2 separate regions of the Mus musculus genome follow, and region 2 is reported to be linked to region 1. Evidence: microRNA targets listed by miRTarBase, many of them from high-throughput screens and not tested one by one. Region 1 holds a microRNA gene; the other region holds the end of a gene's coding sequence.

The links. Region 1 holds the annotated microRNA mmu-miR-3970 (GAGGUUGUAGUUUGUGCUUU, at 5,716-5,735, shown strand). A microRNA usually pairs through its seed, bases 2 to 8, with sites in the 3' UTR of a target mRNA and lowers its output. Matches are read on the target gene's strand: a 7mer-m8 pairs with bases 2 to 8, a 7mer-A1 pairs with bases 2 to 7 and ends in A, and an 8mer does both.
Region 2: the mRNA of Gpcpd1 is a reported target of mmu-miR-3970. Seed matches in the 3' UTR shown: 7mer-m8 at 5,256-5,262.

The regions. Positions count from the first base shown.
Region 1 is chr19:33,151,407-33,159,300 of GRCm38, forward strand. It overlaps Mir3970 (microRNA 3970), which reads left to right and starts at 5,706; the gene lies at 5,706-5,795. It also overlaps the pseudogene Rnls.
Region 2 is chr2:132,523,934-132,531,827 of GRCm38, forward strand. It overlaps Gpcpd1 (glycerophosphocholine phosphodiesterase 1), which reads right to left. Exons shown (of 20, transcript NM_028802.3): 20 at 5,149-6,809. The coding sequence ends at 6,620. It overlaps 1700026D11Rik (RIKEN cDNA 1700026D11 gene), which reads left to right. Exons shown (of 4, transcript NR_028286.1): 4 at 1-124. Among named protein-coding and RNA genes, the nearest start is that of 1700026D11Rik, 37 kb to the left of the region's middle.

The DNA of each region.
Region 1 (7,894 bases):
TCATATCATCTGCAAATAGTTATATTTTGACTTCTTCCTTTCCAATTTTTATCCCCCTGGTCTCCTTTTGTTGTCTAATTGCTCTGGCTAGGACTCCGAGTACTATACTGAATAGGTAGGAAGAAAGTGGGCAGCCTTTTCTAGTCCCTGATTTTAGTGCAATTGCTTCAAGCTTCTTTCCATTTAGTTTGATGTTGGGTTCTGGTTTGCTGTATATTGCTTTTATTATGTTTAGGTATAGGCCTTGAATTCCTGATCTTTCCAAGACTTTTATCATGAATGGGTGTTGGATTTTGTTAAATTCTTTCTCATCATCTAACAAGATGATCATGTGGTTTTTGTCTTTGAGTTTGTTCACATAGTGGATTACGTTGATGGATTACCATATATTAAAACATCCCTGCATCCCTGGAATGACACCTACTTGATCATGGTGGATGATCGTTTTGATGTGTTCTTGGATTCGGTTTGTGAGGATTTTATTGAGTATTTTTGCATCGACATTCATAAGGGAACTTGGTCTGAAGTTCTCTTTCTTTGTTGGGTCTTTATGTGGTTTAGGTATAGAGTAATTGTGGTTTCACAGAATGAATTGGGTAGAGTACCTTCTGTTTCTATTTTGTGGAATAGTTTGAGGAGAAGTGGAATTAGGTCTTCTTTGAAGGTCTGATAGAACTCTGCACTAAACCCATCTGGTCTGTTTTTGTTTGTTTGTTTGTTTGTTTTGGTTGGGAGACTATTAATGACTGCTTCTATTTCTTTAGGGGTTATGGGACTGCTTAGATCATTACTCTGATTCTGATTTAATTTTGGTACCTGGTATCTGTCTAGAAATTTGTCCATTTCAACTAGGTATTCCAGTTTTGTTGAGTATAAATAGCCTTTTGTAGTAGGATCTGATGTTTTGGATTTCCTCATGTTCTGTTGTTATGTCTCCCTTTTCATTTCTGATTTTGTTAATTAGGATACTGTCCCTGTGCCCTCTAGTTAGTTTGGCTAAGGGTTTATCTATCTTGTTGATTTTCTCAAAACAAACAAACAAACACCCAGCTCCTGGTTTGGTTCATTCTTTGTATAGTTTGTTTGTTTGTTTGTTTTTGTTTCTACTTGGTTGATTTCAGCCCTGAGATTGACTATTTCCTGCTACTTGGGTGAATTTGCTTCCTTTTGTTCTAGAGCTTTTAGGTATGCTGTCAAGCTGCTAGTATGTGCTTCTTCTAGTTTCTTTTTGGTGGCACTCAGAGCTATGAGTTTTCCTCTTAGGATTGCTTTCACTGTGTCCCATAAGTTTGGGTATGTTGTGTCTTCATTTTCATTAAACTCTAAAAAGTCTTTAATTTCTTTCTTTATTTCTACCTTGACCAAGTTATCGTTGAGTAGAGTGTTATTCAACTTCCATGTCAACTTTGGCTTTCTATTATTTATGTTGTTATTGAAGATCAGCCTTAGTCCATGGTGATCTGATAGGATTCATGGGACAATTTCAATATTTTTGTATCTGTTGAGGCCTGTTTTGTGACCAATTATATGGTCAATTTTGGAGAAAGTACCATGAGGTGCTGAGAAGAAGGTATATCCTTTTGTTTTAGGATAAAATGTTCTGTAGATATCTGTTAAGTCCATTTGTTTCATAACCTTTGTAAGTTTCAATGTGTCTCTGCTTAGTTTCTGTTTCCAGGATCTGTCCATTTATGAGAGTGGGTTGTTGAAGTCTCCCACTATTATTGTGTGAGGTGCAATGTGTGCTTTGAGCTTTACTAAAGTTTCTTTAATGAATGTGGATGCTCTTGCGTTTGGAGCATAGATATTCAGAATTGAGAGTTCATCTTGGAAGATTTTACCTTTGATGAATATGAAGTGCCCCTCCTTGTCTTTTTTGATAACTTTGGGTTGTAAGTCGATTTTATTAAATATTAGAATGGCGACTTCACCTTGTTTCTTTGGACCGTTTGCTTGGAAAATTGTTTTCCAGCCTTTTACTCTGAGGTAGTGTCTGTCTTTGTCACTGAGGTGGGTTTCCTGTATGCAGCAAAATGTTGGTCCTGTTTATGTAGCCAGTCTGTTAATCTATGTCTTTTTATTGAGCAATCGAGTCCATTGATATTATGAGATATTAAGGAAAAGTAATTGTTACTTCCTGTTATTTTTGTTGTTAAAGTTGCGATTATGTTCTTGCAGCTGTCTTCTTTTAGGTTTGTTGAAGGATTGATTATTTTCTTGCTTTTTCTAGGGTGTTATTTCCCTCTTTGTTTTGGAGTTTCCCCTTTATTATCCTTTGAAGGGCTGGATTCATGGAAAGGTATTGTGTGAATTTGGTTTTGTCATGGAATTCTTTGGTTTCTCCATCTACGGTAATTGAGAGTTTTGCTGGGTATAGTAGCCTGGGCTGGCATTTGTGTTCTCTTAGGGTCTGTATAACATCTGTCCAGGATCTTGTGGCTTTCATAGTCTCTGGTGAGAAGTCTGGTATACTTTTGATAGGTTTGCCTTATATGTTACTTGACCTCTTTCCCCTTACTGCTTTTAATATTCTGTCCTTATGTAGTGCATTTGTTGTTCTGATTATTATGTGTTGGGAGCAATTTCTTTTCTGGTCCTGTCATTTGGAGTTCTGTAGGCTTCTTGGATGTTCATGGGCATCTCTCTCTTTAGGTTAGGGAAGTTTTCTTCTATAATTTTGTTGAAGATATTTACTGGCCCTTTAAGTTAAAAATCTTTATTCTCACCTATACCTATTATTCTTAGGTTTGGTCTTCTCATTGTGTCCTGGATTTCCTGGATGTTTTGAGTTAGGATCTTTTTGCATTTTGCATTTTCTTTGATTGTTGTGTCCATACTTTCCATGGAATCTTCTGCACCTGAGATTCTTTCTTCTATCTCTTGTATTCTGTGACTGATGCTCACATCTATGGTTCCTGATTTCTTTCCTAGGGTTTCCATCTCCAGAGTTGTCTCCCTTTGGGTTTTCTTCATTGTTTCTACTTCTATTTTTAGATCTTGGATGCTTTTGTTCAATTCCATCACCTGTTTGGTTGTGTTTTGCTGTAAAGGGATTTTTGTGTTTCCTCTTTAAGGTCTCCTACCTGTTTAGCAGTGTTTTCCTGTATTTCTTTGAGTTATTAATGCCCTTCTTAAAATCCTCTACCAGTATCATGAGATATGATTTTAAATCCGCATCTTGCTTTTCGGGTATGTTGGGGTATCTGAGACTCACTGTGGTGGGCATACTGGGTTTTGAAGATGCCCAGTGGTCTTGGTTTCTGTTAGTAAGATTCTTTCATTTGCCTTTTGCTATCTGGTAATCTCTGGTGTTAGATGTTCTAGCTGTCTCTGGCAGGAGCTTGTTCCTCCTGTGATTTTTTTAGCTCTTGACAGCACTCCTGGGAGATCAACTCTCTCCTGAGTCCCAGTGGTCAGAGCACTCTCTGCAGACAAGCTCTCCTCTTGCAGGGAAGGTGCACAGAAGTATGCAGCTCAGATCCACCTCCTGAGTTCTGGAGTCTGAACCCTCCCTGGATTCTGACTCTCCTCTGGCAGGTCTGGGTCTCAGCTCTGTCTCCTGGCTGAGGATGAATGCCTGAAGGGACCCTGTCCAAGGAACTCTGTTGCTTCTGCCACCCACATGCTCTCTTCCATAGACCGGTCTTAGTGATCCCAAGATTCTGGGTGTGTTAGGGCCTGCCTTTGTCTTTTGACCTTGTTGCTGCTATCACAAGACCCTCTGGGATTTTTGGAACTGATGTTGCCTTCCACTCACCAGTGATCTCAAGATCCCGGGTGTGCTAGGGTGCCTGCAACGTGGAGAGTCCTCTGGGGAGCTTAGGACCCTCCACCGAGATCGTGCCCAAGATGATGAGGGTGCAACTTGTTTCTAAGGAAAGGTGTGACACCTTGCCTTTACAATACTGGCATGTCAGAACTAGAGTCCCTTCACATCTGTTTCAGAACTTGCCAGCTTCAGATTTTTTTTATGAGGCATTTTTTAGGTGAGTAATAGTCTCTTAATTACGGTTTTAAACTTTATGCTCCTAATAGTCAATGATGTTCAGTATTGTGTACATGTGTGTATGTGCATGTGTGAATTGCACATGCGCTTACTTTCTATTTACTTTTCCTTGTATGTGGTAAACAACATAAAACTTACTACTAGGTACACCCATTGGAAAACACCAATCTACTTTATTTTTGTAGCATTTTATTAATATTTTAAAATTATATTTTTATTGTTTAAAACAGTTTTAAATTCAAATATATTTTGATTATATTCTCCCTGCCAAGTCCTTTCAGGTCCTCTCCCCTCTATATCCACCCAACTTTAAGTTCTTTCTCAAGAAAGAAACAAAAAACAGAGACAAACAAAACTAATACAACAACAAAACCCTCCAAACCAAGAAAAAACAATAAAACAACACCCACATAAACAAACAAAACAAAAAAACCCCCACCAAACTGTAACCAAGTAAAATCAGACAAAAATGTGTGGGGTCCATTGTATGTTGGTCAGCTATTCTTGAACATGAGACCTACCCTGAAATGGATGATGTTCCCAGTAGATCTGCCCATAGTAGAGATGCCACATAAATAGAATCATTTGATATATAACCTTTGTGATTGGCTTCTTCCATTTAGCATGATCCTTTCAAGGCTTTTCCACGATCTAGCATTTATCAGTAGTTGACCAATTTTTATGTTTGAACTATATTCCAGTGTATGGATATGCCACATTCCATCAGCTGATGAACTTTGGGCTGTTTATAAATTTGGCTATTTTGAATATTGTTGTCCAAATTATCTGAAGATATTCAGTTGACTCTTTTGAGAATGACAGGATCATAATTTACCACCCAGTTGTTTTCTTAGGAAGTGGACTCATTGCATATTCCTTACAGAAAAGCACAAACACTTCACTTCTCCATATCCTCACAAAGACTCCTTGATTTATATTAAAAAGTTATAGCTATCTTCAACAAAAGACATTGAGAATAATGGTTTTATAAACTTAATGTATGCTAATGAATTTATAGCTCTAGTGGTTGTAAGTTCACTGTTTATCACACTGTGTGGTCTTGCTATGCACTTCCCTAATGGATAATGATGTTGAGTACATTTTCATGTATTCATCTGTATTTCTTGGGCATTGTATTGATTCAAGCCCTTTGTTCATTTTAATTGAGCTTTCCTATTCCTTTTGAGTTGTAGGAGTGAATTCTTTATATATTCTCCATGCAGATTCTTATTAGAAACGTGACCCATCAATCTTTTCTCTCATTTTATCTTTTTATTTTCTTTTATAAATTATTATTATCTTATTTGATATTGTGTGTGATTTGCCTGCATGCACACCTGTGCACCGAGTGCATGCCTCGCACATGTAGAGGCCAGCAGAGCGTCAGGACTGGAGTTGTACATAATGACGAATCGCCATGTAGGTGAATGGAATTAAACTTGGAATTAAAAGATCAGTCAGTGCTCTGGCCAGCCAGTGTTGTTATTTGCTGAGCTATCTCTCAGGCCCCTTTGTACTCTTTTGATAATTCTAAAATAAATGAACATTTGATTTCTGAAATAGTTAAAATTATATTTTTCTTTTAGAGAGAGAGAGAGAGAGAGAGAGAGAGAGAGAGAGAGAGAGAGAGAGAGAATAAGTGATATCTAAAAACAACTGTCAAATATAAGGTCATGAGAACTTACCCCTGTGCAATTTTCTAGGAATTTGAGGTTGTAGTTTGTGCTTTCTATCTTGTAGAGATTTCAATACTCAGTATGAAGCAGAAACCAGCATCACCCTTTTGTTTATGGAGGTGCAGTTGTTTCAGTGCCCATGCTGGTAAGACTACATTTTTCTCCACTTAATAGACACTGGAACATTGTCAGAAATCAGCTGATCATCTGTGGGTTTGCTTCAGGACTCTCACTTATGATGTGTCAATCACATCTACTCTCATGCCAGTCCTGCTTTGAATGGGTAGCTACAGTTTTGTAGTAGTTTTGAAACTAAACTGTGACTCTTCCAATTCAGCTCTTCTTTTAATAGATTATTTTGGGTTATCTAGGGAACACTTGAAATTTTCTAAGAAAAAAAATCTTGAATCAGTTTTGTAAATATAGTATTTATTTTATTTTTAGATGTGTGTGTGTGTGTGTGTGTGTGTGTGTGTGTGAGAGAGAGAGAGAGAGAGAGAGAGAGAGAGAGAGAGAGAGAGAAAGAGACTCTGGGTATGCACACATACATAATGCTGGTGGAGTCCCGAGGCATTGGATCCCCTAAAGTTGGAATTACAGGTGGTTATGAGCTACCAGACTGGGATCCTCTATAAAATCACCACTCACTCTTCACCTCTGAACCATCCCTCTAGCCTCTTGAATTGGGTTTTTCATTTCTGCACTGGCAACTAGGATCTGGATCTGGATAGCAGTGGGTTTGAGCATCTTTTTGGGTCATACCACCTCTTACACGTATCATCTTTCAATTCATAGCACCTCTTGGTTCACTTAGGTCATTGTTCCCTTCTTTCAACAATATAGTTCTTGTGTAAATCTCCCATGATTAAATGCAAGTATCTTTAGTGTCATGTTCTTCAAATCTTTTGCCCACTTTAAAACAATTGAACCATTTGTATTATTTTAAATTATTGATTTGTGTGAATTCACTATACACTTGGGATAGTAAACATTTATCAGATATGTGCTTTTCTAACACTTTCTTTTATTTTGCAGTTGCCTTTTTATTCTCCTTATGGTACCTTTCAAATATATTGGTTTTAATATTCAGTAGATACAATTTATCATTTCCTTTTTAAATAATTTGTGCTCTTTCTATTCTATCTAAAAATGCTCATGAAACCCAAGGTCATACTAATCTTCTCCTATGTTTTCAGTTAGAAATTTTATAGCTTAAGGCTGTCCATTTATGTTTCTGGTCCACTTCCAGCTCACCCATGAGGGGATATAACACGGGCTCTGAGTCTAAAGTGAAGTGTACCAGTTTCTGTTTCACTGTTTAGTAGTTATGTCACTAGAGGCACAGTTTGCATCAGAAACCAGAACATCCTCATTTAAAGCAGAGACAGTATTTCCTTCTGGATATCAGGACTGATGTGAGCATCAGATGGGAACAGTCCATGAGGAATGTCTAAGATCAGAGTACAAATGCTAACCATGACTACTCTAGCTGACATCAAGGAAGAAAGAATTCGATGACAATTTGTCACCATTGGGGAAAAGCTAGAACTCAAAAACCACCAGCAGTTAGACAGGCTCGAAAAGGACTAGCTTTTATGTAGGGTGTGTTTGAATTCTAAGTTTGCTTCCTAGAACCATAATTGTCCTGGAGTTTTGCAATCCTTAACTCACCTTTGCAATGGATGAGAATCTAAGGTCTCTTAGAGCCAGAAAGGAGGGGGTCAGTTATAAATAGATCTCTGTGACTTACACCAAGTAAGGGACTAAAAATGGGGAAGGGAGGGGAAAAGAAATGGAGGGTGGAAGCAGGGAGGGAGGAGGGAGGAAGAAAAGAGAGAGAATAAGCATTAGACTATCATGATACAAAGAAGTCCAGCCACAGATGACAGCAAGGGAAGGGTGGAGTAAGGAACTGGAGAACTGAAATGGAGCCTCTGTTGTAGTCTTCTGACTGTGGCAGTAGGTCAGAGGGCATAGCAGTAGCCCTCTCCAGGGACAGGGACAGAATAGTTCCTGTGATCTTGTCCCATACTCTAGCAACATCCTACTTTTCTGTGAAACAGAATTACTGACTGTTCCTCAAGTGCACGCTTAACTCTGGAAAAGTTTGTGCAGTTGTTGGAACACTGCTACTCTCATGGCCTTTTCCTGTCTAAGTTCAACATCTTGCAATATTCCGCTAAAATTCTGTTTTAAGAAGCTGTTTCTTATG
Region 2 (7,894 bases), not on the chromosome of region 1:
CCCTCCCTCTCTCTCTCCCTCTCTCCCTCTCTTTCTCTCTCCCTCTCTCTCTCTCTCATCCCATTAATTTTATTCCTCTAAGAGAACCCTGACTTATGCTGCTAAAGAGACTAAACAGCTTCAGAAATATTTCTTAGCCATTTGTCTTTCTTCTTTGAGAATGCTTTGCTCAATTCCATAGTACATTTTTAATTAGACCATTTTTTTCTTGATGTTTAGTTTTTGAGTTCTTGTATATTCTCAATGGTAACCCAAAGTCAGATGTCTCCATGGAAGAGATTGTTCTCCCATCCTGAAGGCTGCTTTTCACTCAACTTTCCTGTACAGAAGCTTGTGAGTCTCCTGAGGCCCATTCGTCATCTCTGCATGATCAGGGCCCTATTCAGGAAGTCCTAGCCCAAAGTCTAAGTGTCACAGAGAGAAAAAAGGGACTGTCTTGGGGTGCTTTCCATTGCTGAGATAAAACATCACAGCCAATAGCAACTTGGGAAGGAAAGAGTCTATTTGGCTTGAGTCTCCTGGGTCAAAGTCCATTGAGGGAAGCAGTGTGAAATTTGGGATCCCTGAGAAAAGACCATAAACTCAATCCAGTTAGAAGATTTATTGGTTATCCCCTAGCAGGACAAGCAACCTCTGAGCTAAATTTGAGATTACAGCGAAGGAGGGATTTGGGAAAAGACTTTTAAAGGGGAAAACCACAGGACGACCTTCAAGATCTATGCAAGCAAGAAAAAAAACTGTTCTTTTATGCCAAGTTAAGTAAGGCAACGGAAAACAGTCTTTGGGTATCTTCTTAAGCAAAACTGAAAAAAACCAATTAGTCATATCATAACAAGTAGATAGTGACAGCTGTACATTTTTGGGTGGGGGATCGCTGAATTCAGGTTACTGGGAACTTATCTTCCAGGGACTAGAGTCAGAGACAAATGGCTGGGGTACCGCGATGGTATCTAGTATAAAATGGAGCTACTTTCACGTAACTGAAGCCCAGGCAGGAACCTGGAGGCAGGAACTGAAGCAGAAGCCACAGAGGAGTGCTGCTTACTGGCTTGCTCTCCAAGGCTTTCTCACCCAAGTTCAGTTCCAGGAGATCCAATGGGACCTTCTAACCTCTGCAAACACTAGGCATGTGCTTGTTACACATACATACAGGCAGGCCAAACATTCATAAAACAAATCAACCTAAAACAATTTAAAATATATGTTTATCAATACTAAGTATATAAATTATCTTACCATGAAAATAAAACACAAGCCGTTAAAATGAAAAGTTACACCAAATTATGTTCCAACATTTTACAGGGTTTCATTTCTCATTCACAGATGTTTAAAGGCCTCCGAACAGGTTAGCCTGATACTGGAAGGAGTTAGTGAGTTAGAAGAAAGCGAGAAATCTCATAGAGTGAAAGGAATGGCCAAAGAAACAGGTCAGAAGGCTTGAGAGTCAGACCTGAGAGGCGTCTTGGAATGGAACCCTGCACACTTGTCCAAGCTCTGTCGCTCTGAGTAAGATGAGGTGATCCAAGAGCCTGCCTGGCCAGGCTTTGCTTCCAAGCCCTTCTCTGCCTTAGAGCGGGCATAGGGAGAGAAGGACAACTTTGCCTTAGAGCCCAAAGACTGCATCCAGTTGAATCTTGGGAGTTCCCCAACAGCAAACACTGCAACCCAAAGGTATATATCGGGACCCACAGAAACAGAGACCTCTGCAGCAGAAGTCACAGTTTTTGCTCTGCCCCCCCCCGCGCCCTCCCCACCCCCCAGCAGGGATAAATCATGGGCTTGGCTTCACACTGAGGTCTGGAGCTCCCAAGGGATGAAATCAAGACCACTAGACATTGGAAGGAAGAAGAAATGAGAAAAATACGCTCATGGAATTCCAACACACAGACAGACAGACACACACACACACACCTTGAAAAGTACCTTAAAACCAAATAGGTTGAGACAGGACAAGCTGGAAATGATAAGTGCTCAGCGGACTGAGGCAAAAAAAAAATATTTGATTTTGGAGGCCATTCTGGGCTACTTAGTGAGTTTTAGGCTGCCCTGAACCAAAAAGAAAAACTCTTGTCTCAAAATGAATTAAAGACAAAAAATGATTTGAGAGGATTTGTAGGCAAATGGAAGTTACAATCTATTTTAAAACAAAGTTTGAGTCTAAAAATTGAAAAGTAAAATAAAGTCAGGTGTATATGAGTGAGACTACTGGAAAATTTGAGAAGGAAAACATGGTTAATATTTTATAAAAATATATTTTATATAAGGGTAACTATAATAAACATATCGACCTGCATGTAGTGAACATCAATAAGAAAAGTGGAAGACAATGTTGAACAGATTACCCCTAATGCAGTGCAGATGTGCATTCCTCACTGATTTCAGCATGTCCTGAACTCGTGTGTCAAGAGCCTTTACCAGATCTAGGCAGGGGAGGGTTGGGTCAGGGAGGTGGGGAGAAAAGTAGAGGGATGTATGCGTGAAACTAAGGCTGTCTGAAAAGGCTTACTTTGTAAGCTAAAACAAAACAAACCCCCAGTGTGGTAGTGGCGAGGTGGTGGCTCCCAGCACTCAGGAGACAGACAGGTGGATTTCTGAGTTTGAGGCCAGCCTGGTCTACAAAAGGAGTTCCAGGACAACCAAGGATACACAAAACCATGCCTCAAAAACAAAAACCAACCAACCAACCAAATAAAGAAGTGAACCCTTGAACAGTGGTAACCAGAGTAGGACTCCCAGAAGCCGTAGGCTGGAGAACTGCAGTGTCGGGGTGAGTTATCCTCCCCAAGTGCTGGGGTTAAACCTGGCCCTGTAATATATCCTTTTTTGAAAACCCTTAGTCAGTTTCAGCTGTGGATGACAGGTCTGAATGAGGCTTACAGGTCAAGGGTGTGGCGGTAGTGTGTAGGCTGCATACATTCAACTGTAGTCAGTGTCACAACACAAATGAACATCATTCATTCCTCCATCCCATTAAAATTAAGGTGAAGAAAAACAACGACTACTTTCTAAACCTTCAAATGCTCATCAAATAGATTCGATACCTCTTATTGAGGTCTGGTTCTCGGCAGCCACCTGTTGTGATGTCAGTGAGCATCAAAGTAACCTCTCCCCTGAGAATCAGAACAAAACTCCAGGCTGCCGGGGACTGCAGTAGCTAATAAAATATACAGGACAGTTGTGACGCTAGAAGGAAAAACCCACTTTAGTTATGACCAGTCACTTAGAAAATCCCTGAGGCTCAATAAGACCCTCCTTCCTCCCCTACCCCCCACCCCCCACGTGTTAGATTTGGACTCTTTTGACACCTGGGAGCCTGTTAATGTCTAGGGGCTACACAGAACTGGCTCCATGCCTCAGCCGCTGCAGCATATGGAAGTGGGCCCAGCACTTCCCTTAGGCAGCACAGTAGAGCCAGCCCCGAAGGCATGAGAAGTAAGAGCTGGCACTGGCCCCTTGCCAGCCGCAGCACTGGATGAGCTAGCTGGGGCAGTCAGTGCTGGAGAGCTTGCCCTGGTGGTGTGGGGTGCAGGAGCTGGCGGGCTGAGCAACTCAGCTACCATCCAAGCCCAGATCCAGGGCTTTGAGCTGGCCATCCCAACATCTATTCCATCTATGAACAGCTAGAGCACATAAAGGGGCTGGTTCTGTAGATCTAAAGTTGCAGGACCTTCATGACACAGGATAGCTGAGGAGTGCAGGTGAGGATCCAGTATTGATAGTGTAGCAGAAGCCAGAGGCCTCGAACCAGATCAATGATTTACTGCTGTGAGCATTTGCAAATAAAGATGGACAAAAGGATATACTAAGTGACATACTACTGCAGCTTCCGAGAGACTTATTTTCTTTTGGGGGTGTTGCAAGGGCGGAGGGCAGATAAGGTCAGGGGGATAAGTGGGATTGGGGTACATAATATAAAATTCACAAAAATCGTTTATGAAAAAAATCTTCAGAGTAGCTGTTAAGATGTAGGAATGAACTTTTAAGTGCTCTTTCATCAAGCTAATGTAACCAAACCCATTACACTGTAGATGACACATGCAGTGACAGCTACAGAGAAAAAGGCACAAGGGAAATGATCTGTCATCGTGCATGACTGGCAAGTTGCCCTGCACCACACACAAGTCCAATGAGCTCTGTGTTCACAGACAAGAGGTCAGACCAATCCTTACCACCACCTCCATGAGGGAGCTGTATGCCTTGCCTCCATACTGAGCAGAGCTAGTATAGGGAGCAAATGCCAGAGAATCATAGAACTTTCCAGAAAGTGTAAAATAATTTAACATTAAACATCTGCATGTAATAACTGACATCAATAAGCTATCCCAGTGGTCATAATGTAAGCCACTTCAAAATGTGCTTTCATAATAAATAAATACATTTCATTTACTGTGGAAATAAAAGTAAAGTTGGTAAGATGAATGCCAACTGTGTCTCTGGAATGTCCCAAGGCTCTGTAAGATCACTGGTAAATGCAATAAGGAGTAGTAAAATATTCAAAAGTGTTGGCACTGGATAGTTAGATGAGGCAGCAAGAGTGTGGGCCAGTTGATGGGGAAGGTTCCAAGCAAAGGACATATAGGCACAGATGGAGTGGTGCAGAGCTAGTCACAGCATGGCTGAGTAGAGGAAAGGTGACAGCTAGTGACATGGAGGCACTAGGTTAGCTCACATAGTCTAATCAACTAGTAATGGAGAAGACAGTGGTCAGGCTCTATGGTACACTAGCCTAGCTCTTCTCAGCAAACTAAACTGCTTGGGCCCAGTCCCTACCAAGTCCTCTGTAAGATGCACCCTTGTGCTTTTCTTCTGTCCTACACACAATAATGGAGCTAGGAGGGAAAATACATGGGAATGGCCACAGAACAAAACTAGAGAGGCAAAGGGAGCACACCACACGGTACACAGGTCTATGAAGAAAGTCAATTACATTTTCTGAAGGTACCTGATTATGTGGAAATGTTAAAGATTCATTCAACATGGGAAAGTATATAGAAATACCCTTGTAGAAGACCATTTTCTAAACTATGCTCCACTAAACATCATGTTACAAATACAATACCATAGGGTTTCTGACCCCATCTCCCCACAGTGAAGAACTGACCCAAACCCCCATTGTTGCACTGTTAAGAACAAATCAGGAAGCCAAAGGTGGTGGCGCATGACTTTAATACCACTTAGGAGGCAGAGGCAGATGTATCTGAGAGTTCAAAGCCAGCTGGCTTACACAGTGAGTTCCAGGACAGCCAAGGCTACACAGGTTGTGTCAAAAATTGAAAGAAAAAAAAAAGTACAACTTGTCATCTCAAGTCTTATGTTTTTAACTTCTGTCAATACATGCACAAACTGCCTCAGCAGGAGCACTGAGAAAGTGTGGTGAGTCGGCCCATACAAGCAGAATAAAATTTCTATTTGTAAGACAGAATACCATTATAAAACCATTCTACAAAATACCTTCTTGAAATTTCATTTTAAGATGAGGAAAAAAATAAATCTGTCATTTTATTTAACATTCATTCTGAAGTTACAGTTTTATCAGTACAATCTGCTTCTAAAGAAATCTTAGTATAATCCTAAAAGCATGCATTTATATACAGTAAGATCTACATTCCTAAATAAATTACATACATGATATATATTAAACAATAAAGAATACCAATTTGAGAATTCAGGACATTTATTTTTCTGCATGGGAATTTAACTACTATGCAACACACAGCAATTATGTTTACTAGGTAGTGAGACACTTATGTTTACTAGGTAGTGAGACACTAAATAAGCATACTCAAAGTGTCTAAAACAGACTTTGTTTTTTAGGCGACAAAATATTTTATGTCCTTAACATCTCCCTCACCTAGCACCAGATGCAAGGACTTAACAGTAAACATGTACAATCTCATGCTTAAAACCTAAAGCATGCATTGAGTCAAATTGATACCTTCTGATCTACACTACTATATATGCAATATATACTTCTTACAAATACTTTATACATTAAGTTACCCTGCAGCATTCTGGAACTTTAATATCTTTGAATGGTTTATGAGACAAGTTTTGAGGTTCATCTGCAGGCTGGCTTGGGTCAGGTGAGAAATGGCAGCAATCTGAGGTTTATACTAAAGGAAAATGGTGCGTGTTCCTATCAACCATGTAAAGATACCTATGTACATGGATGACACAGACCTGTGCAGCTGGAGCCACCAGTGCAAATGCATGCATTGAGGTACTTAGTTTTTCCATGGTCAGGTATAATTATGCAATCATTTTTCTCAAGCACTGAAGATTTAAGACTTAATCAAATGAAAAGCCTGAACTTTAAGTATGAGATATTTATATCGTTAATTTCCAACTTTTAATGAAGATTCACCATTATAGGCTTAGATATCTCACTGAAATGTTTAACAGTATATTTTCTTATTGTACAGAGACTGATTGGTAATTATACCTGGACAAGTGACAAATAGCATACTTGATATTCTTGCGGGACCTGTAATGAAATAGTAAAATACTTCATTATTGCTTCATTGGACTGAAAAACCTAAGAGGCAACAGCAGTGCTCGATGGTGAAAACTAAACATGAGGGCAGCGGTGTGCCCCTAAATGTCCTCTGTGCACTGTGAACTAAGCGTTCTCCACACTATCAATGCCGTTGGCATCCACGTGGATATCAGGCTCCACACAGAAAGAAGAAGGGATGAAGTGGCTAACAGTGGGACACAAACAGTTCTTAAGCTCTGGCAATTCTTGCTTCAGGCGCTCCAACTGCTCCACTTGGAATATATTTGGCTGTTCAGGCATCCAATCATATATCCTATGGTGAAAACAGACACACAATAAGAATAATGTAATTTCATGTTTATTAAGGACTGTCTGACTTAACTTTTTAAGAAAATCCATTTTAAAACTACCTGGAATATTCATTCTTATTGTATTTTATTCTACTTTAAGATAATGATAAAGATCAAAGCATTAGGTGAATTAATTCTCAGAATAGACTGTTCTTTTGTAACCCCGGTCATAAAACAATTCCTTGAATCAGAAAATGGAATTTGTAGTGCTCTAGTGATTCTTGAAGTATACAACTGGTGATGCCTTAGTTTACAGGAGGAAAACCTCCTGAGCCCTGAAACTTGTCCCCAGTGACTTAACTCACAAATGACCAGAGATCAGAAAGAGCCTCTGGTAGGTGAGGCCTGCTCACAGACAAAGACCAGCTATATATGCAATGAACGACACAGGGTCATGAGAGGGAAGACAGCATATGAAGCTGATCCTGCTATCCCCACCTGAGTGCTGGGATTACAGTCATGGGCCACCACACCCTTTAAACATGGTGCTGGGGGTGTGGCCAGCCCCTGTGTATGCTAAGTAGACACTAGAGCTATTCATCCCTGCAGCATGCATTTTTAACGATGAAAAACTACTTCTCAACAACAAGGTTAAAGCACAGACTATGCACATGGTACAAAGCTGTTACACTTTTCTACTTTATTTTCTAACATTTAGTTGGGAGTGGTTAATTTAGCTTTATCTTGCTTCTGTGCAAGCAGAGACTGCAGTCATGCCCCTCAGAGCCCAGCTTGTTGACTCATACTAGGGGCTCAGGAACACAGGCCAGGGACAGAGAACTTGAGTGGCATTGGGAATGGCCCAAGTTTAGTCCCAAGCATCACGATCAACTCCAAAAAGGAGCAAGAGAGAAGGGGAAAGAACAGACCCTTGCAGTGAGTGTAAGGGCAAGTGATCTTACGTTCTCACGTGCTCCTGTATAACCCCAGCTCTTCCCTCCCTTGCATTCCATCAACTACTTATTTTTTCTCTTACAAAATTTTAATCCTTAATAGGCCTTAAAACATTTGATGTTTGTATGAATTTAACCATTATACTGTTATGTTC